Linked DNA regions of Elephas maximus indicus. The protein of the gene in region 4 interacts with the protein of the main gene of each other region in a pairwise test. Links are inferred from orthologs where the notes say so. Each region holds a gene or a part of one and is shown on either strand. Other genes may lie near its edges.

What was found.
Region 1: the proteins of FAM161A (region 4) and DHX32 interact in binary tests that used the Homo sapiens proteins (3 or more experiments, as listed by UniProt). The two-hybrid records come from large-scale screens. The link is inferred for Elephas maximus indicus from reciprocal best matches to the Homo sapiens genes FAM161A and DHX32.
Region 2: the proteins of FAM161A (region 4) and ZBTB8A interact in binary tests that used the Homo sapiens proteins (3 or more experiments, as listed by UniProt). The two-hybrid records come from large-scale screens. The link is inferred for Elephas maximus indicus from reciprocal best matches to the Homo sapiens genes FAM161A and ZBTB8A.
Region 3: the proteins of FAM161A (region 4) and HMBOX1 interact in binary tests that used the Homo sapiens proteins (3 or more experiments, as listed by UniProt). The two-hybrid records come from large-scale screens. The link is inferred for Elephas maximus indicus from reciprocal best matches to the Homo sapiens genes FAM161A and HMBOX1.

Annotation. Positions count from the first base shown.
Region 1 is NC_064834.1:75,857,500-75,865,412, reverse strand, and holds the start of DHX32 (putative pre-mRNA-splicing factor ATP-dependent RNA helicase DHX32), read left to right. Parts: upstream 1-4,578; 5' UTR 4,579-4,716; intron 4,717-4,927; exon of another isoform or gene 4,928-5,028; intron 5,029-5,050; exon of another isoform or gene 5,051-5,852; intron 5,853-7,913. Other genes in the region: FANK1 (fibronectin type 3 and ankyrin repeat domains protein 1), read right to left, coding at 4,304-4,316.
Region 2 is NC_064821.1:73,378,005-73,386,437, forward strand, and holds the start of ZBTB8A (zinc finger and BTB domain-containing protein 8A), read left to right. Parts: upstream 1-5,200; 5' UTR 5,201-5,248; intron 5,249-5,254; exon of another isoform or gene 5,255-5,507; 5' UTR 5,508-5,594; intron 5,595-8,433. UniProt on the Homo sapiens protein: May be involved in transcriptional regulation.
Region 3 is NC_064840.1:43,559,053-43,567,446, forward strand, and holds the start of HMBOX1 (homeobox-containing protein 1), read right to left. Parts: upstream 3,598-8,394; 5' UTR 3,287-3,597; intron 1-3,286. Other genes in the region: INTS9 (integrator complex subunit 9), read left to right, coding at 4,058-4,066. UniProt on the Homo sapiens protein: Binds directly to 5'-TTAGGG-3' repeats in telomeric DNA. Associates with the telomerase complex at sites of active telomere processing and positively regulates telomere elongation.
Region 4 is NC_064844.1:479,202-486,790, reverse strand, and holds the start of FAM161A (protein FAM161A), read right to left. Parts: upstream 3,404-7,589; 5' UTR 3,294-3,403; coding exon 3,111-3,293; intron 1-3,110. UniProt on the Homo sapiens protein: Involved in ciliogenesis.

The DNA.
Region 1 (7,913 bases), on a different chromosome or scaffold from region 4:
GGAAAGGTATTCCAGGCATAGGGAAGAACTTGTGCAAAGCCCCACAGGCGTGAAGGAGCTTGGCCTGTTTGAGAGACCAATAATGCCTGAAGCATAATGAATGTTTGAGTTTGAAGAGGTAGGTCTGTCACAATAAGAACTTTGGTGAGCTTTTGGCAGGTGATTTGGGTTATTCATCAGATTTGAAAAGGTCACTCTGGCTCCCAGGTGGAGCACAGATGGAGTAGGGGAGGGGGGAGGAAATGCAGAAACACCTACGTACAATCAAGGTACAAGCAACGGAAGATGGTGTTTGGAGTATCAGTGATTACAGTGGTTGTTATTAGCTGCCCTCTAGTTGACTCCAAACTCCTGGACATCCCGTACGTAAATAATGAAGTGCTGCCTGGTCCTGGGCCATCCCACAATCTGCTGGGAATCAGACCGCTGTGATCCATAGGATTTTCACTAACTTATTTTCAGAAGTAAATGACCAGGCCTTTCTCCCCAGTCTGTCTTAGTCTGGAAACTCCACTGAAACCTGTTCAGCATCATAGCAACACCCAAGCCTCCACTGACGGACGAGTAGTGGCTGCACTTGAGGTGCCTTGGCTGGGAATCGAAACTGGGTTTCCCGCGTGAGAAGCAAGAACTCTACCACTGAGCCACCAATGCCTCACTAGTCATTACAGTGGGGAGAGGCATAAAGGAGAACATGCCGGTTATATTCTGGAGGTGGAACAAAGAGGCATGCCGGTGGACTGGGTGGCCACGGAGAGTGAAAGAAAGGAGTGAAGGATGACTCTCAGCTTTCAGTGGGAGGAACTGGGAAGATGGTGAAATCCTAGATTGAGATGGGAAGATCAGCTGAGAAACTGGTTTGGAGAGTCTTCACTGCTTCAACTATATGCTTCCAGTCTCTTAGTCACTGAAATAATTGGGGTCATTTAGCATGTCTTTTCAAAGGTGGAAAAATAGGAGGAAACTGCAGCTTGGCCTAAATTAGGTTCAGAATGTTTTTCTAGGGAGAATTTATCAGGCAGGTAGCAATGTGGTTGGAAATGGGTCTGAGGACTTACCTGGATGCAGAATTTGATAAATATACATAGTTTTTACAGATTGTTTGCTTAGGATGATTTGGGGGGCTAAGAAAGATCATGGGGGGTGCTGAAGGCCCCCACAGCCACCCTTTGATACCATCATTTACTAAGAAATTGGAGAAGAGTTAGCACTGTTGAATTTAAATATTAAGAAAACAATAAAAGTGCAGTTTGATGTCCATTTTCCATGTCATTTCATAGTGTAGTTAGTGGAGGGAGAGAATAATTAAAGATGTAAACATGTAAGCCAAGAGCCAAAAGCACTCTGAACAGCTCAAGGTTGTGAACTTCTTTAATTTGCCCTTTCCCTGAGGGGTCATTTCTTGGGTCATTGACTTATTATTATTCTGTAACACAGTGGTAGCCCCTGTCATCCTCTGCCTACCACCAGAGCATGATCCAGCTTGGAGTTTGAAGAGTTTGGTTATTGGATTTTAATGACTCGGTTAATAAAGGTCATTTCTAAAAGTAATAGAAAACTAAATGTGTGGACATAAAATGGATAAGACTGGCTCAGGGGCTATTTCTAGTAGTTCCTCAGTGTTGTTCTTGGATAGATGTTTCATCCTTAAAAAACAGTTAAGAAGGATCGTTCCTTTTAACCAATTTACTGAGGTGTCGCTAGGAGTCAGCATTGACTCGACAGCAACAGGTTTGGTTTGGGTTTTATAATTAAATAACACTGTAAAATGCTATTTGAAACCCCTCAAAACAAAGGTACAATGTAGACACCAGGCTTAAAACATTATAATATATTGCTAATATCGATAACTGTAGGATTGTAATTATGTGATATAATAATTATAACAGTAGTTCATATTATATGTGTGGTGCCCTACATCATCTCTGAGAGAGTGAAATACCTTAAGTCTCAAACGGCTGAAATCTGGTTAGATATGAATCTTGATGTTAAAAGGGACCTTAGAGATAATTTAATCTTGTCACTTTAAATACTGACTAACTTCACACAGTGTTTAGAAAATGTTTCTCTAAAGATGGTGTTTATTAGCTGTGAAAGAATTCCGTAAGGTAAAATGGTGGTTGTTTGAATCATCCCTAAAATTAAACTGATAAAAGCATTTAAGAATATGTGGAAAGGCATCAATTTACAGTCTCTCTCTAGGCATAGATTACTTAAAAACTGATTCTCACCCAAAATCCAATGAGCCGAGATGTAAATGTACAAGTCACACAGGTAATACATTTCTTACACAGTTTTACAAAGCCTTCCTGATCTGTCACCTGTGGGTGTCTCCAGCCTTCTCTCTCTTCTCTCTGCACCCTACCGCCCGTCTTCTCACCTGCAACTTTACTAGTCTTCCAGCTCCGAGCCTCAAATTCACCCTGCTTTCTCAAGGCCTATGTACAAGGGATTCCCTCTGCCTGGAACCCTTCTCCTTCGTTCTTTACTGAGTTAACTCCTTCTTCAGCCTAGCACTACTTGCTCCAGGAAGCCTTCTGTCCATTACTTTGCCCCTAATTTCAGAACCTACAGATGCTTCAGTAGTTCTTGTACAATCTCTGTTCAGTTTACCTGGGAAGGCTAAAACTAATACTGCCTTATTCACCATTCAGTCCCCAATGCTAAAACAGTGCCTTGAACATAAACAAACAAACAAAAACAATTGCCACTGAATCGATTCCAACTCATGGGGACCCCATGTGTCAGAACAGAACTGCACTGCATAGGGTTTTCAAAGCTGTGACCCTTCAGAAGCAGCCAGGCCTTTCTTCCAAGGTACCAATTTTTCGGTTAGTAATTGTGTGCTTAACCGACTGTGCCACCCAGGGACTCCTCTGGAACATGATGGGTGAAAGGACAAAGACTGAATGGGTAAGGAATGAGTGAACGGATAAAGGCAATCAACACCGAAGGATTTGAAATTTATAGTTTACACATTTAAACAATAACACAAACCTGAAGAAATAAAGTGGCTGTTTTAAATAGATACGTTTCACTTGTATTCTTTTCCTCTCTAAGGCGAGAACACGGATGGTCATACACTGCCTGGCATCAGTTTGACATAGGACAAAATGTTTACGTTGTTGTAATTTTTTTTTCAATGGGTTAGATTAAACGTAGGATCCAGAAAGTTATAAATGTAAATAGCAGGGTATTGTGTGAAAATCCTATCAATTCAAGCAACTATAACTTACAACTTGTAATCTTTTTCCCCAGGAAATGAGCTAAAAGGACAGGAAGAAGTCTTTAGACCCTTTTTGTTGGAAACAAATGGTCTTTCACCATGCCAGCATTTACCTCGGGGAATGGATTTGGTCTGAATACTTCCATTTCTGAAATTGTGCAAATGAAGATGACTTAGGTTTAGAGTCAAACCACATTCTTCTATAAAGGCTCAACGTTTTTCAAGTCTCCATGGTGCAGTGGTTAAGGGCTAGACTGCTTAACCAAAAGGTGGCTGTTCGAATCCACCAGCTGGTCCTTGGAAAGCTATGGGGCAGTTCTACTCTGCCCTGCAGGGTCGCTATGAGTCTCGACGGGTTTTTTTGTTTGTTTGTTTTTAAGTCTCCAGAGAAATTACTGTTCTTATTTTAAGAGCAAAAGAAGCAATAAAACATTTGCTTAGGCCAGGAGGAGCGGAGACCGGCAGAACCCTACATCCCTAGAGAAGTTTGAAAGAAGCCCGTGTTAGAGCTGATAACTCACCACCGCACATCTTTTGCCAAATACCAAAAACAACGTGGGAAACGGAAAGAAAACAAAAACCTAAAATGAGATTATTTTCTTTGCTTGTCCTTCTTCTTAAACCTCTAACTTTTTTTTTTTCCCCCTCCTTTAAATTGCGGACTGTTGGTGGGTGGGGGTGGGAGTTTCTAATGAACACAAGACCCAGCCTCAACGCAAGTTTAATAACTGACATTTTAGAAGCAGGATGGCCATTTACAATAGCTGAGCCAAAGTACCAGACTACGATAACAGCGACAGTAATAACAGCTATGAATTGACTGAAGGAGCAAAGTTGGGGGGCGTGCGCTCCCCTGTCCACACTACCGAGCTCTCCGCCCCTCGGCTCCCAGCCGAGACCCTTGGCGCTCGTGGCCCAACCGGTCACACTCGGCAGGACTGAGCCCCCTTTTTCCCTTCTCCGGGGGAGAGAAGCGCGAGGGGGAGGCGAGAATCGCGTTTCCACGACAAAAGCCACCCACTCATCCCCCGAGGAGATCCCGGCCCCGACCCGGCCCGGGGACCTCGCCCCTCTTACTCTGGGGCTCCATGGTCAGGTCAGCTGCGCCCCGGCCCCCGCGGGCCGAGCCCTCCCAACGCCTCTGCTCCCGCCAGGCGTCGCCCGGTCGCCCTGACAACCCGGCGGGCGGGGGAGGAAGGCAGGAAGGACGGCGAGCGGGAGGGACCAAACGCCGTGCGGAGCGCGGGAGGCCGCGGCGCGGGGACGGAGCCAGGGTGACGGCGCTCGCCGGTCGGAGACACTGCCCTCGGCCCGGGCGGCCGGTCACGCCCCCCTGCGGCCCCCCTGCGCCCCCCTGCGGCCTCGGCGGGCTCGGGGCGGGGCCTCCGCGCGGGGCCTGCGGGTGGCGCCGTCGCCGACCTGAGCGTCCGTCGGTCCGTCAGCGTCGGGCGCGCTCGGCCTGGCCTCCGGGTCGCGGAGCCGCCCTGCAGGTAAAGGGCGCCCGGGCGGCGGGAGGGTCGGGCCGGCGGGCGACCCCGGGGGCGGGCGGCCCGCGCACCTGTTGCGGCCCCGGGCTCGCTGCGCCCCCGGCCGCCCCGGAGGACCCGGCGACCCCGAGGGGCCTCGCGCCCCGCTCCCCGCACCCCCGGCTCAGCAGTGGGCCTGGACCTCTGCACCCCACCCCACCAGTAGGAGGGGCCCCAGCCCCCGCAGCCCCTTTCCCCCTCAGCAGCAACGTCCCCGGGCACCCCAGCCTCTTTCCCCCTCAGCAGGAACGTCCTCTGGCACCCCAGCACGCCCAGGTAGGAGTGTCCCCCGGTACCCCAGCCCCTCCTCCATGAGGGGTGCCCGCGGCACACCAGACCCCCACAGCAGAAGTGCTTCCGGTACCCCAGCCCCCGCCCCCCAGCAGGAGGGTCCCCCAGCCCACTAGCCCTGCCAGCAGGAGGGTTTTTCAGCAGCCCAGCCATGCCCCGCCCCAGGCAAGAAGGTCCCCCAACACCCCAGCTCCCGAGCAGGAGGGCCACCCAGCCGCAGGGCGTTGGCCTGGCGAGTGGTCACTCAACCACAGTTGCGGGAAGTGGGCCAGAGGTGCCTCCTGAACTCATGAAACCCTGGAGCCTTCCTCGCCGACCTTGCTCTGTCATCACCAGTATCCCATTTCAGGCCCTCTGCCGGTGTCGATCTTTCTGGTCGGTTTAGTTCTTCTGTGTTTGTTTTTGTTTCAATCCTGCTAGTTTTAGGTTGAGTTATTGAATCAGCCCACGTGCAGGGTTGTTAAACGAGTTTAGCATGAGCCCACACAATAGTCTTTACTGTTATTTGTTTAAAGAACACTCAGATCTTGTGTTAGAGGCGGAAGCTTTGAAGACCACAAGGGTCTTTTATCTGGCAGGTTGTAAAACCCCGACCACAGGAGTATCAGGTTAAGAAAAAGGATTCAGTAAGGAGAAAAGAAAAATGGAGAAGAGAGAAGAAAAAGATTGAGAATGGAAGTGCAGGTGGGGAAAAAAACTACCAGATTGATTTAGTACTCACATCTGGAGGCTGCGGTCCCCCCATCAATTCCAGCCACTGCTCAAGGCAGTACTGAAGGGGAATGGAAGAAGAGCCCTTTTGGGGTCATGTAAGTGATCACTCCTTCTTTGCCGCTAGAGAGATTTCCACTCCATAGATGACAGGGACACCAAGGAGGGTTGCTTTCCTCAGAAAGGAAATCATTCAGAGGTGAATGGAACCTGAGAACCATATATTCTATGATGGAAAAGGATATTTATTACATTCCCCCAAATTAGGGTTCCCCCTCTCAGACTGCATCAAGATGTTTTCAGGTTAATTGTCAAAGCAGGAAGGTCTGTGTGTGGACATTGACAAGCAATGTGATATAAACAGAATCTGTAATTCGTAAGCTAAAATATTAAGGTAATAATTCGGGTCAGAAAGTAAACACTCCATAGTACCTTCACTGTCTGTTCCAGAAACGCAGAGACAGGGAATACATTTTAGGCAGAAAGTGTCTAAAATCAACGATATTTCTACAGAGCAGTGTTTCTCAGACTCCAGTTTTCATATCATTAGCAAAACCACAAACTGGCCTTTTCATGCAAGAAGCAAACACAGGGGTGCTCATCAGTAATATCATAATGAAAAGTGACAAGGCAGTGGTAAAAACCTGGTGTTTATTGACACAGAAGAAGGTATGGCTAAAATTTCTCAAACATTAAAGGACTCGGTGTTTGTATAGAAAAAAAGAAAAAAACAACAAAACAAAAATATTGCAGCGCTCTGTGCTGAGATAACAAAGACTTGAGAATTTGGTAGTTGAATTCTACTTTGGTGAGTAGCACCTGGGTTCTTAAAAGCCTGTGAACGGCTATCTAAGATACAACACTGGTCTCACCCCTTTGGGAGCAAGGGAGAATGAAGAAAACTAAAGACACAAGGGAAAGATTAGTCCAAAGGACTAATAGATCACATCTACCAGGGCTTCCACCACACTGAGTCCAGTACAACTAGATGGTGCCCAGCTACCACCATCGACTGCTCTGACAGGGATCACAATAGACGGTCCCAGACAATAGAGCTGGAAAAAAATGTAGAGCAAAATTCTAACTCACCAAAAAAGAACAGACTTACTGGTCTGACAGAGACTGGAGAAACCCTGGGAGTATGGCTCCAGGACACCCTTTTAGTTCAGTGCTGAAGTCACTGCTGAGGTTCATCCTTCAGCCAAAGATTAGACAGGTCCATAAAACAAAACAAGACTAAAGGGGCACACCAGCCCAGGGGCAAGGATGAGAAGGCAGGAGGGAACAGAAAGGCTGGTAAAAGGGAACCCAAGATCGAGAAGGGAGGGTGTTGACGTGTCGTGGGGTTGTTAACCAATGTCATAAAACAGTATGTATACTGTTTAATGAGAAACTTCATCTAAAGTACAGTAAAAAGCAAAAATAATTTGGTAGTTGAGCACAGATCCTAAGGTCGGAAAAATGGTAATACACAGATATTGGTGAAGTACTTTATAGTAATATAAACCAGAAAAACCAAACCCACTACCACCGAGTCGATTCGGACTCATAGCAACCCTATAAGACAGAGTAGAACTGCCTCATAGTGTTTCCAAGGAGCGCCTGGTGGATTTGAACTGGCGACCTTTTGGTTAGCAGCCATAGCTTTTAACCACTACACCACCAGGGTTTCCTTATAGAAGAAGGTATTTTATCAGTAGCTCTGAGGTTGACATTGAAGAAGTCTTGCATTGAAATGCTTTAGGTAATAGGTAAAGGCAGCTATAGAGAGCAACATTTGATCTAGGTGACAGTGTAGGTATGGAAGACAAGCCTGACTGGTCAGTAACGGTGGGGAGGTAAGGGGACATTATCCAGTTTCTCTTTTCTCTCCAGCACCTAGTACTATGCTGGTTAAATGGTTGTTGAGTGAATAAGAAGAGCATTAGGGAATTTGCTGTAGATAAAAGAGTATGCTTGTTGTTAGAGAAAATATCCTGAGATCAGAAAGTTGCTAATAGGATCGTTGGAGGTGAACGGTAAAGGCTTTGGTGGCCCTTTTATGGGGGTTTTCTACCTTTGTGTTTTCTGCTTTCTTTTCAGTGGTATGTTCAGTATGCTATCAGTGGTCAATGAGAAACAAAATCTTGATTTTTTGTTTGTTTGTTTTTAAGTTTCCA
Region 2 (8,433 bases), on a different chromosome or scaffold from region 4:
GCCTCGACTTATGACGTATTTATGACGAACTACACTCACACAGACTTTTTTTTTTGTGCATTTTATCATTAGTAATACGTACTACATACAATGTTAAAATGTATAAATATATCTGCAAGTTTATACGTAATGTTTCCAATCCCCAAATATAGTATTTATAAAAATACTGATAATAAAAGGTAATAATAACGAAAACTTAAAAAAAAATGAGGTATTCGACTTAGAACCAACTTATAACAGAGTCATCGGAATGGAGCCCTGCTGTAAGTCAAGGACTACCTGTACCAGCTGAGTCACCTATGGTGGACAGGTTTCAGTGGAGCTTCCAGATTAAGACAAACTAGGAAGAAAGGCCTGGTGATCTACTTCCGAAAATTAGCCTATGAAAACCTTATGGCTCAAAACAGAATAATGTCTGATATAGTGCTGGAAGATGAGCCCCCTAGGTTGAATGGCAACAATGAACTCAAGCATTCTGAGGATCATGAGGATGTCTGGGCAGCGTTTTGTTCTGTTGTACATGGGGTTGGTGTCTTAGGCTGGGTTCTCTAGAGAAGCATATACATATGTATGACATATATATGTAAAGATTCATCTCCAGGAAATGGCTCATGCGGTTGTGGATGCTGGCAAGTGCCAAATCTGTAGATCAGGCGTCTGGCTGGAGGCTTCTCCTGACTCATGTGGTTGCAGGGGCTGACGAACTCGAACTGGCAGGTCAGACGACAGGCTGGTAGTCCACAGGGTTGTGGAAGCTCTTGAATTAGGTCCGATGGCAGACTGCTAGTTCAAGTCCCAAGAACCAGAGGTCAGATAATGACAAGCCAGATGCAGGATACAGAGCAAGACCAAGCTTTGCCAGAGTGTCCATATATATTGGATGTAGGTCACAATCTCAAGGAAACTCCTCTTACGTCAGATAAGGGTGTGATTTGACTAGGGCAGTGATTTGAGGTACAGTGACTTACTAAAGGCTGTGACTCAAGGTACACTCCACACTAATCCTGCCTCATTAAAATATAGAGGTTTAGGATTTATAACACATAAAGCTGAGGATAGTTACATGATACCACAAAATGGAAGACAATTGCATCAGATCATAAAATGGAGGACAATTACATGATACTGGGACCCATAACCTAGCCAAGCTGACACACAGCACTGACCATCACAGTCACCATGAGTCAGTGCCCACTCAATGGCAGCTAAGAACAACCATCCACTAAACAATGGTGTGCTCAGCCTTCTTCACTTCTCACTTTATATTCTCTGTATCCACATTCATAGTTTTAATTCTTATTTACATGAGAGTGATGTCAAAGTTTTACTGCAAGCAATTTTATCTATTAAGGTCCAGTCCCTATATCCAGCTGCTTTCTTGACCCTTTGAACTACTCAGGGTTTTTGGTCGCACGAAGACTAGCCCTGGCTGATTTAAGTAGAATGAATGTTCACAGGATTGCAGATATAGCCTATGCTAGGCAGTCAGAAACAACAGCTAAAGTCACACCACAAAACTGGCCTGGTGAGGACACCCGAACTGCTCTCAGGCATGACAGCTTGTGTCACTGATAGTGCTGGCACTGGAAAGTGAACGCTATCACTAGCAGCACGGCCACTATGGCGCCTGGAGATACTACTTTGCTGGAACTGTCACCACTGCCAGAGGATTCTTTGAGGTTTCTGCTTCTCGGTGTCGTAACTCCATCTGCAAAATCCTTGGTGAGTGCATCTGATTATCAAAGCACAGACCATTAGTAATTTCCTAGCTGCAAGGGATTCTGAGAAAGCAAGTCTCTGGTATTTCTAGATGCTATTGCAGAAAGCAAATTCTACCTCGCACCAATTACTCATAAGGTAAGGAATCCCCGGACGTATAAACGAGGTTCCAATGGTATATATACAAAAATAATGAAGATGCCAAGATGTTCAATCTGCATCTCTAATTGGACAGCTCAAAGATACCTCAATCTCAACATATCCAGGCTGAATTTATAATTTTTGTGGCCCTCTTAGCCCCCTTCCCCCCAAAAATCTGGTCCTCTTCTAATCTTTTCTCTCCATGAGTAAGACCACAATCCATCCAGTTTCACAAGCTAATGGGCTTGGAGTTGTCTTTGACACTTCCTTCTCCCTCACTCCCCGTAACCAACCTATTACTACCTCTAATATTTATCTCTCTTGGTCTCTCCACTTCTATCCATCTCCTCTGCCTTCACTTTACTTCAAGGCTCCATCATCTTTCAGCTGGACTACTGCAATTCACTCTCCATTAGTTATCCAGTGCTGCTATAACAGAAATACCACAAGTGGATGGCTTTAACAAACAGAAATGTATTTTCTCACAGTTTAGGAGGCTAGAAGTCCGAATTCAGGATGCCAGCTCTGGAGGAAGGTCCTTGTCACTTCCTGGATGATCTTCATGTGAGTTGGCATCTCTCTTCCCCCATCTCTGCTTCTTTCACTTGCTTGTTTAATCTCTTTTATATCTCAAAAGACATTGATTTATGACACACCCTACACTAATCCCGTCTCATAACATAAAGATAACCATTTCCAAATGGGATTATAACCACAGGCATAGATTTTAGGATTCTGGAGGAACACTTAACACTTCCCTTCTAATATATTCTCTAACAATAAGGCCAGGGTCATCTTTTCAAAATGCTTATCTCATCATGTTACACAGCCCACAGAGCATAAAATACATCAACGGCTTCCAAACTTAACATGGCCTACAAGGTCCTGGCTGGTCTGGCCCTTGCTTACCTCTCCTGCCTCATCTCTCCTCACTGTCCCTCATTCTGCATGCACTCCAGCCTCTTCAGTCTTTCATACTATGCTCCCTCCTCACGAGAACCTCTGTACATTTTGATCCTTTTATTTGGAATACTTCCTACCACTCTCACCTTCGCCTACTAATTGCTACTTCAGATTTTCAGTCAAGATCATTTCCTCAAGGAAGCCCTCCCTAAGCCTCCTTCCCCCGTAAGACAGATAACGACATCATCTATATGCTGACAGCACTACAGACCTCACCTTCATGATTTATTAAATTTTTTAAATTATATTTATTTGATTACTGTCTGTCTCCCCCACTAGACTGCCAAGTCCCATGAAGGCAGAGAGACCAGGTCTATTTTTTGTTAAACACTGCATTCCAAGAATAAACCACAGAACCTTATCCATAAAATCAAAATACCAAACCCGTTGCCATCGAGTAAGTTCTGACTCATCGTGACCCTACAGGACAGAGTAGAACTGCCTCATAGAGTTTCCAAGGAGCACCTGGTGGATTCAAACTGCTGAACTTTTGGTTAGCAGCCGCACCACTTGGCCACAATGCCACCAGGGTTTCCAACCTTATCCATAAAAAACCAAACCCATTGATGTCGAGTCAATTAGGACAGAGTAGAACTGCCCTAGAGAGTTTCCAAGGAGCGCTTGGTAGATTCCAACTGCTGACCTTTTGGTTAGCAGCCATAGCACTTAACCACTATACCACCAGGGCTCCCCCCACCTTATCCATTAAAAAAAAAAAATCCATACCAAACCAAAAAAACCAAACCCAGTGCTGTCGAGTCGACTCCGACTCATAACAACCCTACGGGACAGAGTAGAACTGCCCCATAGAGTTTCCAAGGAGCGCCTGGCAGATTTGAACTGCCAACCCTTTGGTTAGCAGCCATAGCACTTAACCACTATGCCACCAGGGTTTCCACCTTACCCATAAAAAAAAAAAAAACATAAAAAAGTAGGTGTTAAATAGCAAAACCAGTTGCTTTCAAGTGAATTCTGACCCATGGCAGCCCCATGTGTTTCAGAGCAGAACTACACTCCCTAGGGTTCTCGAGGGCCAGGTGCTTTCAGAATTAGATCACCAGGTCTTTTTTCCAAGGCACCTGTAGGTAGATTCGAATTGCCAATCTTTCTGTTAGCACCTGAGTGTTTGTCTGTGCCACCCAGATACTCCTAGGTGCTGAATTATACCTCTTAAAATTGGAATGAATGATTTCCCTCGAGACTTGGGACTGAAGAGTGGGGGGTGGGGGGAGTAGAGTTTAAGAGAATAAGCGCTCCTGAATTGGTTAATGGTGCAGCACCAGCAGAGAGAAGCACCAACTCTTGAAGCTGAGAGGGTGAAGGTGAAGAAAAAAATCTGTCTTGGACCTCGTTGGACCTTCCAGTTTCAGTTTTTTAGGAGGACTGGCTGCACAGCTACTCACGCTCACTTCTCCCTTATTAATTAAATCATAAACTCCTATTTCTCCTTTCTGGCAACCATGTCTGTAGAACTATTTTGCATGTTTTAATTAACTTAGGCTAAAATGAAAACTTCCTGCTGTAACAATGTCTAGGCCTCTCTGGAAGAATTCTCAACGAGGGTGCTAGCAGAGTACACTCAACACTCCTGATACCTGATGGTTTTCAAATATGTTTTCATGTTTGATAAACAGATTCTACCTGTTCAGAAGATGAGGAGACACAACTAAATGGCAACACACCTCTGGAGTAATACAGAAGTGATTATTAAGAGATACTTGAATATTTTTTATCCTTCCCACAGAAGGTATGATCCTCAAAATCACAGCAAATTATTGTTGAAAGCAAAGTAATAAACTTCATTCAATATGACTCATTATGGCATAGGAGAGGAATCCACTCAAAAGCTAAATATGAGTTTTGAAAATTTGAGTCTTTTTTTCAGTTTTACTATATGATACTGTACTTTTCAGTACCTGGCCCCAGGACAAGGAACTAGAAAACTAGTATGCAGAATTAACGCTTCTCTAGTAACAGTGAAAATTCAGTGATTTACTATTTTAGCAAATGTATATACTGATGTTTGTACTAAATATTAGAAACATAAATGTCAGAAAGCTTGTTGTAACAATGAATTTTTATATTTTAAAACACAAAACATGCTATCTGTACTGATTTTATACTTCCTCTGAACTAAGAATTATGTTCTTATTTCAGCTTCTCTGGATTTTTCCTCTTCAAATAAAATGCTTGTCACCTATAGAGGTTTAGAAAAGGTTACCCCTGACTAAAATAATTGCTTCAATAAAGAGAAAAATTCTGTGGAAATCTCTTACATTTGACGTTGCTAAACTTAAGTACAATAATGTCACATGTACTTATACAGTAATTGTGGGCACGCCTAAGTCCCTCCCTCTTCCCTAAACCAAATTCCCCAGATCCTAGAAATCCAGCCTTTCTGCCCTCCGGAGGCGCCTTTCTCAACGTAAAGTACAATTTAAAATTTAAGCTCCTGACTAAATAATGATTCCGCAGTCAACTGCTAGAGAATCTGGGCACCCAGTGCTTCTGGAGGGTGCATCGGGGTGTAGGCAAGGGCAGGGGGAGTGGGCGAAGCTGCTGGTTGGTGCCTGAAATCTGTGCGTTGCCCCTTTAATTGTGTCCCCAGCCCTCGGGCGTTTCTGTCCAACGCCCACGTCAGCAAATACCTTTTGTTTCTCTCACGTTGGGGCTACTTGTTTTAGGGCGCAAAGGAACGGCTTCGTAAAGGGGTTATTTCCCCCGCCGAGAACCTGGAATCTTCTCCCAACCCGCGCGCACGACCCGTAAGGGTAAGTGGCTGCGCGCGGCACGGGCGGAGGGCGGGCGGGGCGTCGGGGCTGCCCGGGACGGGCCCGCGAGCCTCTCTGCTGGCTGAGGCGCCTCCGGCTCCGCGGGCTCCGACTGCCCGGGCGGCAGCGGCGCCGGGATGCGGGCCCGGGGCGCGCCGCCCCCAGACGTTCTCGGGCCGGCGGCGGGCGGCGCAGAGGCCAGCGGGCGCCATTTGCAGCCCCGGGCGCAGCGGCGGCGGCGGCGGCGCGGCGGCTCCGAGGGGCTGGAGGTGGCCACAAAGGAGGCGCGGAGAGCTGGGGCGGCGGGCACGGCCTCGGGGCGGCGGCCGGGCGGCCCGCGGGACAGGCGGGCGGCGCCGGGGCGCACCGGCTCCCGCGCCCGCCCCGCCCGCGTCTCCCCGCCCGCGGGACCGGCCCCTCCTGCGCGCCCGGGAGGGACTGCGGGACAATGGCCGCGCCGTCGCCGCCCGCCCGCGCTTGGCGGTCCCCGATGAGCGCGGCGCCCGCCTCGCCGCCCAGCCCGGCCGCGGCGCGGGGAAAGGCGGGAAGGCGCGCAGAGCCTCCTGGCGGCTGCGGCGGGAAGCCGGCGCCGGGCCGGTGCCGGGCGTGTCTGGAGCCGTCGGGCGTCGCGGACTCCGGGAGGGTCGGCGGCCGGCCGGACACGGGCTGCGCGGCTGAATGACGGGCGGCCCGCCCAATGGGGCGGTGCGGCAGGCGGGGCAGGGACCCGGGGCTTCTCCCCGCGCGGTCCCGGGCGCTTTATTGGGAGGGTGGCTCCCCGTGCGGTAGCTCGAGTTTCTCAACACGTTCTCCAGCGTTTGGTTTTGTATCCTGATGCAACAGATCTGGGCATAGAACCGAAGGCAGGCGTACTACACCTAACAAATGGTGAGCAACAAGATTCGTTTTATGACGGAGCCAGGCGTCCACATCTGCCTGTGCCGACTGCCCGTTCCGTAAATGAGCCGTTTGGCCCCTTTATCCCACCAGTGCGTTTACTGACGGTTGATTGTACGAATAGCCAGACTCGCCGTCTTTCCAAGACCTGTGTGGAAGTGTTGGAATCGCACTTACCGGGCTTTTAACTAACTTCCTCAGTAATACCTCTATTTTTAATAAACCTTTATATTTGCAGAACTTTTATTTCGTAAATGGAGTGCTTTCATTTGTAGGTATTTCACATAAAAGAACCACCCAGTCAAAGTGATGGCTATTTCATTTTCAGATGAGGAAACACTGTTTGACCCTCTAGGCCAGGGGTGAACGAGAAAGAGGGGGACCTTCCAATGTGCCTAGTCTCCTGGTCCTCCTCCACACCCCCTCCTAATGGCAGCACCTCCAGAAGAATATTCCAGAGGAGCAAGCTAGTCACATAGCTCCCTGGCTCAAAAAGCCTTAACAGATCTTTATCAGAATAGAGCCCAAACTCCTCAGCAGAGGATTCAAGCCCTAAGTCTCCACGTCCTTTTTTATCCCCCCGCCCTGAGCAAGAGCCCTTCACTCATAACCAGGGACCAGACCCCATTAGTCCTGGGAACTTTGCTGGCCACACAAGTGGTAAATGAGAAGTGAGAGTCGGTGGCCTGGGACCCTTCACCCAATGGGCGTGTGTGGAAGTCAGCGTTAACACATCAGCTGGAGGCCACGTGAGGGGGCGGCTCCTTCCAGGGGTATGGCCATTTAAATTTCTGATCCCACGAAAAAGGCCACCAGGCCAGACCTTACCTCATAGCCCTGAAATCAACGGCGTTGCTGGTGATTAATGATTTGGGCCAAGCAGAATCATTGTAACATAGGGTAATACTTGATTCCTCCTATATCATTTAAATCTGATTTTCTAGATAAAGTAGAATTTCCGTCTAATGAGATTAACCCCTTCAGTGATATACGTTTGTAATGTTTGAAGGGTTTGATGTAAGCTTTTTCATGTCCTTGAGGGAAGTTTTTGTCACTTCTCTGTCAAAGTCCATCAGTGGCTCACCATCTCATGCAGATTAAAAGCCAGAGTTTCCCCAACTCCAGCTGTCTGCAAGGCCCTGTAGAAATTCATTCCACCTACCTATGTCCTCCTAGAATCTGGCTTAACTTTCTGACTGTGTCTTCCATTCCTCTTCCTATGACTCCTTGATGTTCCTCCAAGCCTCCTAGCCGGCCTCGCCTCACCACCTTAGCACTTGCTCTTCCATCTGCCTGGAACACTCTTTCCCCAGATATCCATGTGACACTCTCACTTCCTTTAGGACTTTACTCAAATGTTATCTTCCCAGTGAGGCCTTCTCAACTATGGTTTTGATTCTCTTAAACATTGTTACACTTAATTCTAAATCTTTCCAGGTTTAAAAGACGTTTACCCACTAAGGAAACCCTGGTGGTGCAGTGGTTGAGTGCTACGGCTGCCAACCAAGAGGTCGGCAATTCAAATCCACCAGGCACTCCTTGGAAACTCTATGGGGCAGTTCTACTCTGTCCTATAGGGTCACTGTGAGTCGGAATCAACTCTACGGCAGTGGGTTTGGTTTTGGTTTGGTTACCCACTAAAGAACACAATTGGCATTCCAGTTGACTGAAGTTCCTTATGACCCAGGAATTTTTCACCCGAGAGGCTAACTAGATTCTTTTTCGTGATACTGATGGGACACATTAAATTCTAGGTGGCAGTTGTTGTTAGTTGCCGTTGAGTCAATTCTGACTTATGGCGACCCTGTGTATGTCAGCGTAGAACTGCTCCATAGGGTTTTCAAGGCAGTGACCTTTTGGAAGCAGTTCGCTAGCCAGGCCTGTCTTCTGAGGCACCTCTGGGTGGGTTCGAGCCACCATCCTTTTGGCTAGTTGAGCACTT
Region 3 (8,394 bases), on a different chromosome or scaffold from region 4:
CTTTTATGGGAAATGCTAGCTCTCTGAAATATTAAAAGTAGGATGAACTAAAATAAGGAATACTCAAAATGACAAGTTAAGCATGAGTATTCCGATGTATGGAAACCCTGGTGGCATAGGGATTAAGTACTACGGTTGCTAACTAAGAGGTCGGCAGTTCCAATCTACCAGGCGCTCCCTGGAAACTCTGTAGGGCAGTTCTACTCTGTCCTATAGGGTCACTATGAGTTGGAATCGACTCAACAGCAGTGGGTTTTGGGGTTTTTTTGTTTTTTCTTTTTTTTTGGTTTATTCCGATGTATTAAAAAACTACTGAAATAAACAATTTCATTCCAATCAAAACTTGCCAAACACTATGAAACAATGCAAGATTTATTGCAATATATTTTATAACCTACCAATACTGTGCTATTAAGTTTGTATTAGTGATGTAGGCTAATAATAGAAGACTGAAATTTGTTTCTGCAGCAGTGAAAATGACTCCTTAATGAAGACATTCAACATAAAACTTACCCTAACAGCTTTTTGATGCACATTTGCAACCAGAAATAGTTGCATAAATACATGCGGTACACTAACGTAGCAACAGATTGGGTTAAAAACAGTTCGGATTTTCAATTCCCCATAATATAGGCAACATTTTTAGAAGTGATCACGTGAAAATAAAATGTGTCTTTCACAGTTATGGGATGAAATTTTAAGCTGGTCAGGCACCAATGCCCTGATTTTCTACTTTTGTAAACCATATGACTTCCACATGCTGAGAATGTTTTAAGCTTTAACCTGCAGTAAAAGCTTTATATCATCTTAATGCCCAGTGCTTAAAATGCAATGGAATCACTCCAGCGAATGCAAGGAATATATCTAGTTTGCATTTAATGATGTCAACCAGAGTACTAGTGAGAATAAGTTTCATGAAAGTTTTTCCCGTAACTTTGCATTTCCAAAGAATAAAAACAAAAAGAATAAATCCAACAAAAAATTGCTAAGCTAACGGTAGGTGGAAGAGAAAACATTCTTATATTTTTCTGACTCTTAACAAGCATTTGAGGTATTTTTCTAAAATAATTATTAAACATTTTAAAACTCTATGACTACCAGAATATCTTCGAGCAAAGAAAAAACAACAAAAAAAAAAACACTCTATTATACAGTTATATAGGATTTCTCTTCAGTTTTTGCAAAGTAATGTTTCACATTAAGATCCAAGGTTAAAACAGATAATTCTGGAAATCCTATCTATACCAAACTAAAGTCTCAGCTTTGCATCAACATATACTATAAATTCGAGATTTAAAAAATATCAATTTTTTTTGTCAGGTCCATCAGCTTAACTGCATGAATGACCAACTGCAGAAATTTCAAATCAAAGGTTATAAAACATCCCATAAAATTACATACTGTATCTGTGTGGAGTTCAGTTTTTATAGAATCTAGGGTCTCTTATGATAGGTGGCAGTTTTAAGAATCAGTAAGTTTGGGGTCATATGTAAATGTATTAAATTCTCAACAGTCTAAATAGAAATTATTACAATTCCTTTGGTTATTGAAAAGCCCATTACACTAAAAAATAGTCACATAAGAAGGCATACTAAAGAACTTCTATTTCAAATGGAAATACAAAATAAACGCTCTTAAATTCTCCTTTTGTAGTGTTATTGAATATAAAAGACTGAGAAACAAGAGATGTTGCAATCCTCTTCCCTTCACAGCTCTAAACGAAACTAACAAAAAATCAGAATTCAAATTTTTCAGAATTCAAAATTTCCAAACTTGATTTATAAACATAATTCAACTACATCTAACAACTTAGTTGCTCAATTTAAAAATAAGTTTAACGCAAAGCACTGCAATCCTTACGTGGCAATTACCTGTGGCATAAATGCAAAATAAAAACAAATGCAAAATCTTTTCATCTAGTGATGCCTCTTACAGTATAAACAACAAAAAAGCACAACCATATTGGCACAAACTAAATAAAAAGGCTCAGGAGGCATTATGTCCATCCAAATGCCAGGGAAGAAAGGAAGGAGTTTCTACACCTGCAGGATTCCATGGAAATAAACTGGTCACATCACTCTACCCTATGTGATACATGAGGGTTTTAAAGCTATTTTAAGGTAAATAAAAACAGCAATTACTTCATATCATTCAACTTCACATAGTACGGTATCTTCAAGGCCAACTGCATTCTTTCCTTCACTCACTCTTCCACACCAGCTTTCAGGCAAATGCGAGGCAGAATAGGGTGGGGTAGAAGAAAAATACAAGCAGCGCCTTTCAGCTGCCCCCCAAATAATTTCCAATAGCTTTTCCTGCCACGAAAATAAGTCGCCCTATCTCAAGATACACAACAATCATTCTGTATCTTCAGTAGACACGCACAGACACATACACAATTCAGCACTCCGTATGCCCACCCCACGCCCCAAAATCTTAATTATTAATATATTTAACACGAAGGCGGCGAGACACCTCTACCTACTGTTTCGGGGTGAGGGTGGGTGGAGGACTCCTTTCAAAGTAGCCCCAAGAGTGTAACCAAAACACGGTTCCGGAATAAAATATTAAGAACACTTTTCCTTTCCCACCTAGCTACTGACTTAAGTATGCAAAAATCCATCTCCAAACCACATCATCTCTACAATTCTCCTGCCGGGAGTTTGGGGTGGAGATGCGTCCAGAGGAGGGGGCGGAGACGGGGAAGAGGAGTGTGAGCGGGCAATCCTACACAAACGAGTTGCTAACCCCAGCTACCCAGCACCACGTCGTCAGCCAAACGTCCAGGAGCAGGACCTCACACACGCTACTCAGCCCAGGCCCCGTTAAAAGCTATGTTTCTAGCTATCTAACTTCTTATCTTTAGACATTTATGCAATACAAATATATCACACAAGTACCCGTAACACAGTTTAAACCACAGTAATACAAACCAACACACCTCAAAATCACGTCAGTTTCCCAAACTCCAAACAGAAGACCCCCCCCCCAACTCCCGGATTCAAACCTTCCGCCCACCGTGGCGGTAACAAGGAAAAAAGAGTTGGGGAGAAGCCGACGCCTTTCAATTAATGCACCCTATAAACTGCCCCACCCCATATCCTGCGTCCAGGTCAATTACTCGGAAGCCCCTGCTTTCTCCCTCCTCTCAAACCGGCCGCTTAAGAGACCCTTCCCCATCCCACTCACTTTCTCCCCAAAGCCTCTGGGGGAAAATTTTAAAAGTAAAGAGAAACAAGTGAGGGAAGAGACTTGAAGTAGTCCGGTTTCAAACTGCTCGACTCACCTCAGAATCCTCGCTGAGTTCTCTCCGCCCGGCACAGCCCCCTCCCCAACGTCCCAGTACGAAAAGCTGAGATAGGAAGGAGAAAGCGGGAGGGGGAGGGGTGTCTTCCGCGTGGGGAGCCCGGCGGGTGGGGGCTGGGGAGGGTTTGAGGCCCGCACAGGAAGAGGAAAGGGAGGAGGGGAGGCCGGTATCTCCCAGTCTCCCCGTGAAAACCTCCCTTGCCTCAATCACATCAGACTGACTGTCTTTGTCTGGCTGACAACCGCCATATTGATATCAACAGCCCCGCTCCCACCTGCTGCCGCCGGGCAGCCCTGGGAGTTGTAGTTCCTGCCTCCCTTGAGTAAAAGCTTGGGACTCCGCATCTAGACACCTCGGAGAACTACAGCTCCCGGCAAGTCCCGCATCCATTAGCCGGCCCACAGGGAGGAGGAGAAAGGGGAATCCAGACCCACCGGGACTACACCTCCCAGAAAACTATGTGTCCCAGGCCCATATGGGGGACAAGATATCATGATGGGGTGAAGAGGGAGGATGAAGAGACGGCGAGGATGACGGAAGAAGGAGTTCAGGGAAAAAAAGAAAATATGACCACAGTTCCCATGATGCATCTAGGGATGACTACATTTCCCATGATTCCTGGGGCGTGGGATGGTGGGAGACGGCCTGTCCCGTAATGCTCTGTGCAGGTTGGTGGCGGAGATTGAACCGGAAGACGCATTCTGGGTCTGAGGAGTCGAGTGATTGCTGTTGAACAGCCTGAAGTCCAATATGAAACTGGTGAGTTTCCACTCCTAGGTCAGAGGGCAAAGGTGATACCATATCCTTTTGGACTTCGTGGTTTCCACCTTGCGAAAGGAACCGTCGCGGAGGAGGGATGGCTTTTTCGGAACAGGAATATGGGGTAGACTAGGGAAATCTGCTTTTTGTAGTCGAGTAGGTCGGAATCCTCACCCTTATCCACTCCACCATGCCCCTTAAAACAGCACGGAGAACTTTTTCACTCATTGTCAGGTCAGATAAGAGGTTGACTGTCTCATTTCTTCACCTGTGAGCTAGGATTGGAGCATAGTCACCTATGACTTCTGAGCTTCCACGTGAGTATTATAATAGGCACACTGGTTGATACATGTTTAGCTCTTCTCCCTGCTGAAGCGAGTAGAAGATACTAGGCAGAACGTAATCACTTATTAAGTTTCCTGTTATAGTTTAATTATAATTGCCCTTTGAATTCAGAGAAGGAAATCAGCGTGTGATCTTGCAGGATTTGAGTTTTAAACCCTGTATAGGATTTGGATGGGCAGAGAGGAAGTGTCAAGACATTCCGGTCTAGGGCTGTAGAGATTGCATGAACAAAGGTTAGGTGGAAAATGCTAGTATACCTAGAGAAATCCTTGAATCACAGAGCTCCAGTAGCTTCTCAGATCTTTATTTTCACTCTTTACTTTTATTGTGAGTTAATTCCAACCCTATTGAATTAGTAATAGCACAATTAGAATAGGAAGGTAGCTGTGAAACACTGCTTCTCAATCTTAAAATCCTGCAACCAAGTTGTCAAGCTTCATCCATTGCCATCAAGTCGATTCTGACTCATAGCAACTCTATAGGACAGAGTAGAACTGCCTCATAGGGTTTCCAAGGCTGTAATCTTTATGGAAGCAAACTGCCACATCTTTTTCCCGCAGAGCAGCTGGTGGGTTCAAACTGCTGATTCTTTCTGTTAGCAACGGAGCACTTAACCACTGTGCCGTCAGGGCTCCTTTGTCAAGCTTTACTTTCTGTAATTTCTATACAAAAACAAATGGTTTGTTTTTCCTTTTATATAACTATTTGAGTATGCTTTTCGAAAGTACATAGCACCCATTTGATAATCATGCTACAGGCATACGCTCTGCAAAGTGGCAACTGTTTGCAGGGTGGAAGTCAGAGAAGGTATTAAAAGTAGATTCAACTCCAAAACTGTCTCCATTTAAAGCTGTTTATGTAAATTATTGTTAATACTATTGTTGCAGGACTGTCTATACTATAGTAGTTATGGTAGTTGCCCTTTATTCGCACGCTCATCTCAGTGTCCCCTTTTGCTTTGGTCACGTTCTGCTGAGTTTTCCCATATTATATATTGCTTTTCCCTTCACCAGTGTTAAGTCGTTCCTACTATATCTTTCCATCTACTACCTCTTTGGTAATTTTTCCTCCCTCCCTCTACCATCCCTGGTAACCATAAAAGAACCTACCTTCCTTCCTTCCTCCCTCCTTCCCTCCTTCCCTCCCCTCCTCCCTTTCATCCTTCCTTCCTTCCTTTTCCTTTCCTTTTTTCTGTGTGTAAGCCTTTTCTTCTTTATAAAATCAGTATCAAACAATATTTGTCTTTTTACGATTGACTTATTTTACTCACTGTATGGTGTGAGGTATGGATCCTGTTTCATTTTTCTACAGATACATATCCAGTTTTGCCAGTACCATTTGTTGAAGAGACCGTCTGTTTCCCATTCAATAACCTTTGGTCTTTTGTCGAAGATGAGCTGTCTATAGGTGGATGAATTTACTTCTCCGTTCTCAATTCTGTTCCATTGGTCTATGTTGTTGTCCCAGCACCAGGCTGTTTCAACTACCATAGCTGTATAGTAGGTTCTGAAATTAGGTAATGTGAGATCTCCCACTTTGTTCTTCTTTTGAAAAGCTTTATTATTCAGGGTCTCTTTCCATTCTGTATAAAGCTAGTGATTAGTTTTTCCATCTCACTGAAGAATGCTGTTGGGAATTGGATCAGGATTGCATTATATCTGTATATCGCTTTGTGTAGCATTGACATTTTCACAACGTTTACTCTTCCTATCCAAGAGGCATGGTGTATTTTTCCATTTATGTAGGTCTCTTTTGTTTTCTTGCAGTAGTGTTTTGTAGTTTTCTTTGTAGATGTCTTTATGTCCCTGGTTAGATTTATTCGTAAGTATTTTATCTTTTGGCGGGGGTTATTATAAATGGTATTGTTTTCCTGATTTCGTTTTCAAAGTTCTCTTTGTTGATGTAGAGGAATCTAACTGATTTTTGTATGTTGGTCTTTTATCCTACCACTTTGCTGAATCTTTCTATTAGTTCCAGTAGCTTTCTTGTGAAATCTTTAGGATTTTCTATGTATAGGATCATAAAACCAAAAATCAAACCTGTTGCAGTCGAGTCAATTCCGACTCATAGCGACCCTATCGGACAAAGTAGAACTGCCCCATATCGTTTCCATGGAGTGCCTGGTGGATTCGAACTGCCCACCTTTTGGTTAGCAGCCGTAGCTCTTAACCACTTATGCTACCAGGGTTTCCTGTATAGGATCATATTATCTGCCAATAGGGATAGTTTTACTTATCCCTTACTGATTTGGAGGTTTATTTCGTTTTCTCACTTTATTGCTAGGACTTCCAATACAGTGTTGAATAAGAGTGGTGATAAAGGATACCCTTTACTGGTTCCCATTCTCAAGGGGAATGCTTTCAGATTCTCCCTGTTGAGAATAATGTGGGTTGTTGATTTTGTATAAATTCCCTTTATTATGTTGAGGAATTTCCCTTCTATTTCTATTTTATTGAGAGTTTTTATCAGGAATGGCTGTTGGATTTTATCAAATGCCTTTTATGTGTCAATTGAGATGATCATGTGATTTTTTTTTCCTTTGTTTTGTTTATGTGGTGAATTAAGGTGATTGATTTTCTAATGTTGAACCATCCTTGCATGCCTGGTGTGAATCTCACTTGGTCGTGATGTATTTTTTTTTTTCCTTACATATGCTTTTGAATTCTATTGGCTAGAATTTCATTGAGAAGTTTTGCTTCTGTATTCATGAGGGATATTGGTCTGTAGTTCACTTTTTTAGTGATGAATTTTTTTTTTTTTTTTAACCAGCATTTGGTATCAGGGCTGGCTTCATAGAATGAATTCTAGAATATTCCTTCCATTTTTGTGTTCTGGAATAGTTTGTGTAGAACTGGTGTCAGCTCTTCTCTGAATGTTTGGTAGAATTCTCCAGTAAAGCTGTTGGGCTGGGGCTTTTTTTGGTTGAGAGTTTTTTCACGACCCCTTCAATTTCTTCTTTTGTTACAGGTCTGTTCAAATTGTTGACGCCATTTTGTGTTAGTTTATGCAGGTAGTGTATTTCTAGGTATTTGTCCATTTCTTTAGGTTTTCAAATTACAGTTTTTCATAGGGTTCTGTTATGATCCTTTTTATATCAGTTGGTTCTGTTGTAATGTCACCCATCTAATTTCTTATTCATGTTATTTGTGTCTTCTCCTGTTTTTCTTTGTCAGTTTGGCCAGTGGTTTGTTGATTTTATCAATCTTTTTCAAAGAATCAGCTTTTAGTTACATTGATTCTTTCTGTTGTTTTTGTGTTCTGTTTTGTTTATTTCTGTTCTAATTTTTATTATTTCGTTTCTTCTGGTGACTGTGGGCTTCTTTTGCTGCTCTCTTCCTAATTGTTGGAGTTGTAGGGTTAATGTTTTGATTTTTGCCTATTCTTTTTGGATGTGTGTGTTATTATCAGCCGCCCTCTGAGAACTGCTTTTGCTGTGTCCCAAAGGTTTTGGTATGTTGTTTTTTCATTCTCATTTGACTCTAGAAATTTTTTTAATTCCATATTTGATTTCTTCTATTACTCAGTAGTTTTTAAGCAGGGTATTACTTAGTTTCCATGTATTAGTTTTTTTTTCCTTGCTATTCCTATTACTGATTTCTACTTTGAGAGCATTGTGATCAGAGAAGATGCTTTGTATTATTTTGATGTTTTTGAATTTGTTGAGGCTTGCTTTGTGGCCTAAAATGTGTTGTTCTGGAGAATGATCGATGAGCATTGGAGAAGAATGTGTACTTTGCCGCTGTTGGGTGAAGTGTTCTGTATACGTCTATGAGGTCAAGTTGGTTGATAGTGGTATTTAGATCTTCTATGTCTTTGCTGAATTTCTTTTTCTTTGTTTTGTCCTTTGCAAAGAGTATTGTGTTAAAGTTTTCTAATGTTATTGTGAAGGTGTCTATTTCTCTTTTCGGTACTCTTAGAGTTTGTTTTATGTATTTTGGAGCTCTGTCATTGGGTGTGTATATATTTATTATGGTTATGTCCTT
Region 4 (7,589 bases):
GCAGGCATGGCTGAGAAGAGGCCGACGTGATGGAAGAACTGTACCCTGAGTGTTCCTGAGCCGGAACTGTAACCTGTCACTTCCCTAATAAACCCCATAATCATGAGTATTGTCTGTGAGTTCTGCATGGCCACTGCAACAAAGTATTGACCCTAGCAGGGAAGTAGAGAGTGCCATGGAAGGGGCCGCTGGTGCCATAATTGGTAAAAAGGGGAAGGGGAGGAGGAAGCACATCTGACCTCAGCCTCACAGGAATCAGCCTTGGGTTGCTGATCTTGATTCTCCCTCCCTCTTGTGAAGTTAGAGGTCAGACACCAGCTCCCCCCACCCCCATCCCATGTTTACATACACAATGCTGCTCTAGCCATGGCTTCATCCATCACATTATGTTATTGTTGTTGTTGGGTGCCATCGAATCAGTTCTAACTCATACTGACCCCATGCACAACAGAATGAAACACTGCCTGGTCCTGCACCATCCTTACAATCGTTGTTATGCTTGAGCCCATTGTTGCAGCCACAGTGTCAATCCACCTCATTGAGGGTCTTCCTCTTTTCCACTGACCCTGTACTTTACCAAGCATGATGTCCTTCTCCAGGGACCGATCCCTCCTGGCAACATGTCCAAGCTATGTCACATCACATCACAGGGCCCAGGAACTGACGCATCTCTCCTTCCCCTCACTCTGATGAGGCTGGATTCAGGGAGCACTGAATTCAGTGCCCAAAGGGGAAAAGAGTCCTGCAAGGTGGGGTTCTGGCAAAACCAAATGGCTGAAAGAGGCCTACTATGACAGCTGGTTCTATAAACAATCTTGTGTGGTGGGTATGCTATCTGGGTTTAATACATTTTATAGATGACAAAGTTGAGACATATTAACCTTTAAAAATCAAGTTAGAGACCCAAGCCAAACTGTAAAGGGACAAAGCCTGGTTCCTGCACTCCTCCTGCCTTTTCCGTCTTCCCCTGCCCCCAGCATCACCTGGCTTATCAGGCCCAGTGAGGCAGGCCACCCAGGTGTGCTTCTGGACCTTTCCTGTGTGACAATCCTGGAACAGTATCAAACTTATAAAAGTTAGCTTCTTTTTTCTTCCTTTTTTTTTTTTTTTTTGGATCCTGCCCTTTCAGAACCATGTAAGCTAATCTCTCCACTCTCCAAAGGTAATAACAGTTTCTAATACAAATTTACAGTTTATCAGGACACTCTGGAAGTATAAGTGCAGCCAGAGAAATGACTAGCTCCTCTACCACAGAAAGCCAAAACAAAATTTCATCTTTGGGTGAGTCACTGCAATGACAGTCCCATGGGTAGTTGCTATTATGATTGCCAATTTATATAAGCATGTCTTTAGATATGACACACATTCTCTCATTTGGTTCTCAGTCACTGAGACAGGAGAGAGAGAGAATTATTACACTAGTCCTTTTTACAGATAAGGCAACTGAGACTTAAGGAAGTTAAGTCCTAGCATCATCTAGCAAGAGATAGAGCCCAAACTCTAATCCAGAACTCCAAAGCTTTGTCCTCCATTTAGTCTTCTTCCTCTATTCCCTTGCTTGCCTACTGCAACTTGTGTTGACTGGAAGCTTTATCATGAGCAAATATGGTCCTAGTGTTCTGATCCTGTGCTGGGTCTCGATCTGCCCAACTCTGGACAGCCTCAAGCAGTTTATGTCTGTTGGTGAAATACTGAACATAAAAGGTGCTGCTACAGATTTCTTATTAACAGCTGTAGTGTAAAGACATCAGAATTCCAAGTATCCAGTGATTTCTAACAGCCCTACACCAAAATGTTTTTTGTGTGAGAAGCTTTAGACATATAGTATTAAAAGGATTTATCTGGTGGAGAGTTTTATATCTGCAAGGTTCTCATCTTTTAAGTGAAGAGAGCAGATGGCAGACTCTGCCCTCCACCTGGTGGACAGGTGTCCATGACACATGTGACAGTGAAAACTGATCAGTGAAAAGGCTGTCTTGCTCCATCCAGAAGGCCATTTAGGAAACACTGGCACCTCAGTAATTTATTTCTCTGGTCTTATCTATATCTGTGTCTGGTCTATCCACTAAATTCTTGATGATTTAAACTCCTGCCTCTAAAGTAGTGTGTTTAAGATCCACCAAACACACTTGAGAGCTTAGCTGATTCACTTAAGTTTTCATGGGTCATCAACTCAATTTCATGGGAGGAGATCAGTGTCACGGATTGAATTATGTTCCCCCCAAAACGTATGTATCAACTTGGTTAGGCCATGACTCCCAGTATTCTGTGGTGCTCCTCCATTTTGTGATTATAATATTATGTTAAAAAGATTAGAGTGGGATTGTAACACCCTTACCAAGTCACATCCCTGATCTAATGTAAAGGGAGTTCCCCTGGGGTGGGGCCTGCACCACCTTTTATCTCTCAAGAGAAAAGAGAAGCAAGCAGAGAGTTGGGGACCTCATACCACCAAGAAAGCAGCACCAGCAGAGCGCCTCTTTTGGACACCAGGTCCCTGCGCCTGAGAAGTTCCCCGACCATGGGGAGACTGAGGACAAGGACCTTCTACCCTACTGGACTGTGAGAGAATAAACTCTTTGTTAAAGCCATCCACTTGTGGTATTTCTATTACAGCAGCACTAAATGACTAACACAGGTTTCAAATTCTTTTTTTTAAAGGAAATACTGTATCCGTTCCCAAGGAACACCAAAGCATAAGGAGGAAAGTTCTGTGCTTTGCTCTTTCTAGAAATAATTTCTAGAAACTTTTACTGCAACCTCTTTGGTGAAAATTAAAAGACTTTTTGGAAGCCTCGGTTTTGGGTGTTTTTCGTGGGGGCTGAGAGAAGGTTGTGGGCCAGGATCACTGGGCAGAGAATTACCTTCCAGGAAGATCTAGACAGGGGAGCGCATTTCCCAGCCTGTCCCTAAGCTGGAAGGGGACCCACACCAGCCCGAGCCCGCACCCAGCCAGCGTCTCGCTCCGCACCTTCCTCGCAGCCAGCCAGCGTCCAGCCCCACACCGAGCCCGCGTCCCGCCCCGCACCTTCCTCGCCCCCAGCCCGTGTCCCGCCCCGCACCCAGCCCGCACCCAGCCCACGTCCCGCCCTGCACCCAGCCCGCAGTACCGACGCCCGCGCCGACGGCACCGTCTTCTCCTGCTCCGCCTCCTCCAAGGCCGCCGCCGCCGCCGCCAGGGCCTCTATGAGGTCTTCCCTTCTGTACCGGGCGACCCGCACCCCGCTGTTGGGGTTTATCGGGGTTTGGTGGCTGGAGGCCGCCAGCCCCGCCGCTTCATGCGAGGCGTCCATCGCCGCCCCGCCAAGGCCTCAGCGCCCGCGCCGGCCCGGGACGGGGAAGCTGGTGTGGCCCCCGGCCCCCGGCGGCTCGCTCGCGGCAGGCGGTTACCAGGGGCGCGGTAATCAGAGACGCTACGGGGGCCGCGGGGGGCCAGAATTCACGGAAAGCAGCCGCGCGCCGGGAGACGCGGGCGCGCCGCCTGCCGGCGAGAGTAGGTGCTGGTTCTGCTGAGCGGGTCAGAAGGTCAGCGGGAGGAACAGGCCGCCGCCTCCCCTCCGGGCGTCTCGCCGCTTGAATGCACACTGCTCGCATCCTGCTAGCGAAGCAACTCGTTTTGTGAAGAAACAGCGCATTTTTATTGTTATTAATTGAAATAATGTGTTAGGAGGGGATGACAGCGGTGCAGGAGTAGAGCAGGGCCGCTGTTTCGGAACGGTAGCCAGGTCGGCCCCGCGGCTACCTCACGCAGCTCCGCCGGGAGCCGGAGGAGCCCAACGAGCGCCGTAAGTCCTCTTCTGATTGACTTGACCGCTACCAGCAGCTGGCCAATCAGAAGGAGGCCGCTAGCTGGCCCGCTCATGAGTGACCAATAAAAGCCTAGTGTGGGCGGTGCCTGGCCCGCCCACCAACGAGTGACAGGCATGGTGGCTGTGCGAGCCCGCCGTCAGCCGGTGAGCTCCCGCGGGGTTGAAGGGGCGGGTGCCCGGCAGCGACCACACACACACACCCCGTCTGCACCCACACCCGACAACGCCACCCAGCCGCCGAGCTCAGGCGGGGCTGAAGGGGCGGGTGCCCGGCAGCGACCACACACACACACACCCCGTCTCCTCACACACCCGACAACGCCACCCAGCCGCCGAGCTCCCGCGGGGCTGAAGGCGCGGGTGCCCGGCAGAGACCACACACACACACACCCCGTCTCCTCACACACCCGACAGGCGCGGGTGCCCGGCAGCGACCACACACACCCCGTCTCCTCACACCCGACAGGCGCGGGTGCCCGGCAGCGACCACACACACACACCCCGTCTCCTCACACACCCGACAGGCGCGGGTGCCCGGCAGCGACCACACACACCCCGTCTCCTCACACCCGACAGGCGCGGGTGCCCGGCAGCGACCACACACACACACCCCGTCTCCTCACACACCCGACAGGCGCGGGTGCCCGGCAGCGACTACACACACACCCCGTCTGCTCACACACCCGACAACTCCTCCCACCCGACAACCCCACCCACCCGGCAACCCCACCCACCCAACCCCTCCTCCCACTCGACAACCCCACCCACCTGACAACCCAACCCACCCAACTCCTCCCACCCGACAACACCTCCCACACTCAACAACTCCTCCCACCCGACAACCCCACCCACCTGACAACCCAACCCACCCAACTCCTCCCACCCGGGTTGGTGTGCGTCAAGCAGCGACTTCCCTGTGCGCCACGAGGCTGTAAAAGGCCGTGCCCTCCACATTGGGGCCTGGCAGAGCCTCAGCCACCCGCTACCCAAGCCCCTACTTCCCAGCCCCATTCTTTAGCCTCCTCTATCACCGGCCCTAAACGGCTGTCAGCGCCTTGGAGCTCTGGCATTTCCTCGGTTGTGCAGGGCGCTTGGTCTCGAACCCGTTTCCGAGGACTGAACCCTTCGTACCAAGCCTTCCTTGGCTGCCTGTCCGGAGTGTGAGCACCTGCAAAATCCCTCTCCCCACTTGCTTCAGGCAGCAGTTGGTTTTGGAGAGCATTCGCTTGGTACGGGGACAAATGTTGGCTCTGTTCTGTGCAGAAGCTGGAAGCCCATTCGGTATGGACTTACCCAGTGACCAGGTTAGGGACTTCCAGTTAGTCACGTGCAGCAAGACAAGTCTTGATGGTAAAGCAGTGCAAATGGAAAATTATACAAAACCAACGAATCAGTGTGGAAGACATGTATCTAGACGACAAGGAAAGTTTCAATTTACCAGGAACATTCTAAATTAGGAGCTCTGGTGGTGCAGTGGTTAAGTGCTTCAGGGGCTAACCAGAAGGTTTGCATCTACCAGTCGCTCCTTGGAAACCCTATGGGGCAGCTCTACTCCGTCCCATGGAGTCGCTATGAGTAGAAATCAACTCGACAGCAATGCTTTGTTTCTACCGGGGCAGGCAAGAGGGAGGGGAAAAGGACACTGAGCTACTGTAGAGGGTGGTGGGAAAATTTGGAGTTAGTGGTGGTGGGAAAACAATAAACATAATGTGAATGTACATATGAAGAATGTTGAAAATGGCAAATGTTTTGTTACATATATCACAATAAAAAAAATAAGCCATCTGTTGAAAAATGTCATTAGGCAGCTCATATCTTCCAATCTGAATGTTTTTGATTGACAGAAATGTTTTTTTTTAAGTTAGATGTAAATTATTAGATAAGAGTTTAGCAAGGTTGCTGAATACATAATTTACAAAGTGAATTGCATTTCTCTCTGTGCTTTATTTTGGATAGTTTCCAATGCTACGTCTTCAAATTCACTTTTTGTTGTTTTGTTTTTTGGCAATGTACAATCTATTAATCTGATCCAGAGTATTTTGTTTTAGATACTGCATTTTTCATTTCTAGATTTAGGACTTTCTTCATATCTTCCATTTCTCCATCAAGTTCATGTTTTCCTTTACATCCTTGAGCATATATATGATTTATAAAAACTGATTTAAGGTCTTTGCCTGCTAATTCCATCATCTTAGTCATTTTGCATCTGTTTCCGTTGATGTTTCTCCACTATGGGTCACATTTCCCTCCTTTTTTGCATGCCTGATAATTTTTGGTTGGATGCCAGACATTATTTTACATTGTTGAGTGCTCGATTTTATTGTACTACTTTTAAGAATGTTAAGCTTTGTTCTGACAGATGAATTATTTGGGATCAGTTTGATCCTTTAAAGCATTGCCATGGATTGAATTGTCCCCCCAAAATATCTGTCAACTTGGCTGGGTCATGATTCCCAATACTGTATGATTGTCTACCATTTTCTCATCTGATGTGATTTTCCTATGTGTTGTAAATCCTATCACTATGATGTAATGAGATGGATCAAGTGGCAGTTATACTAATGAGATCTACAAGATCAGTGTCTTAGGCCAGTCTCTTTTGAGATATGAGAGAAGGAAGAGACATGAGGACCTCATACCACCATGAAAGCAGTGCTGGGAAGAGTGCATCCTTTGGACCTGATGACCCTGGGCTGAAGATGCTCCCAGACCAAGGGAAGACTGGTGACAAAGACCTTCCTCCAGAGCTGACAGAGAAAGCCTCTCCCTGGAGCTGGTGCCCTAAATTCAGACTTCTAGCCTCCTGGATTGTGACAGAATAAACTTCTCTTTGTTGAAGCCATCCACTTGTGGTATTTCTGTTACAGCAGCACTAGACGACTAAGACAAGTATCTTTCGTTAGGATGAGTCCAGAGCAGTTTTTACAGCTAATTTACCCTCACAACTAAGGCAGGACTGAAAGCTCTACTGATTCCGTGTGTATTATGAGGTCTGTCCAATCTGACTGGTGGGAATTTGAACTACTCCTGACACCATGTGTCATTCTACAAATCGTCTGGTCTTCGGTCATTAGTGTTCAACACATCCAATCTAGAGATGGTCTCTAAATTCAGGTGGAATATACTCAAGGTCATACTTTGGCTCTCGTGGACTTGTTTCAGTTTTTTTTTTCAGCTTCAACTTGAACTTGCATATGAGCAATTGATGGTCTGTTCCGCAGTCATCCCCTGGCCTTGTTCTGATTTGACGATATTGAGCTTTTCCATTGTCTCTTTCCACAGATATAGTTGATTTGATTCCTGTGTATTCCATCTGGTGAGGTCCATGTGTATAGTCGCTGTTTATGTTGTTGAAAAAAGGTATCTGCAATGAATAAGTTGTTGGTCTTGCAAAATTCTGTCACATGATCTCCACCATCATTTTTATAACCAAGGTGATATTTTTCAACTACCAATTTTTCTTCTAATTATGCTAGTGTATAGTAATGCAAAAATTGAAGCAGGATTAACTGCTATAGGAATTGCCTTCCTACCATCAACAACTAGACACCCAGACAGTATGTATGAAACTGCTTTCAGACACTGGAGGAAAAGCAGCACAGGACTGTGATCACTGAAGGAAACGAAACAAACAAGGTGAGCCCTAAATCACCCCAGCTTACTGCATATAGAACAGCATACTATAATAATATAAACAATGTCAAAGACTACAGCCTTCAGTATGGATTAGATCTCAACATAAAGAAACCAAAACCCTCACAACTGGACTAAAATGCAGCA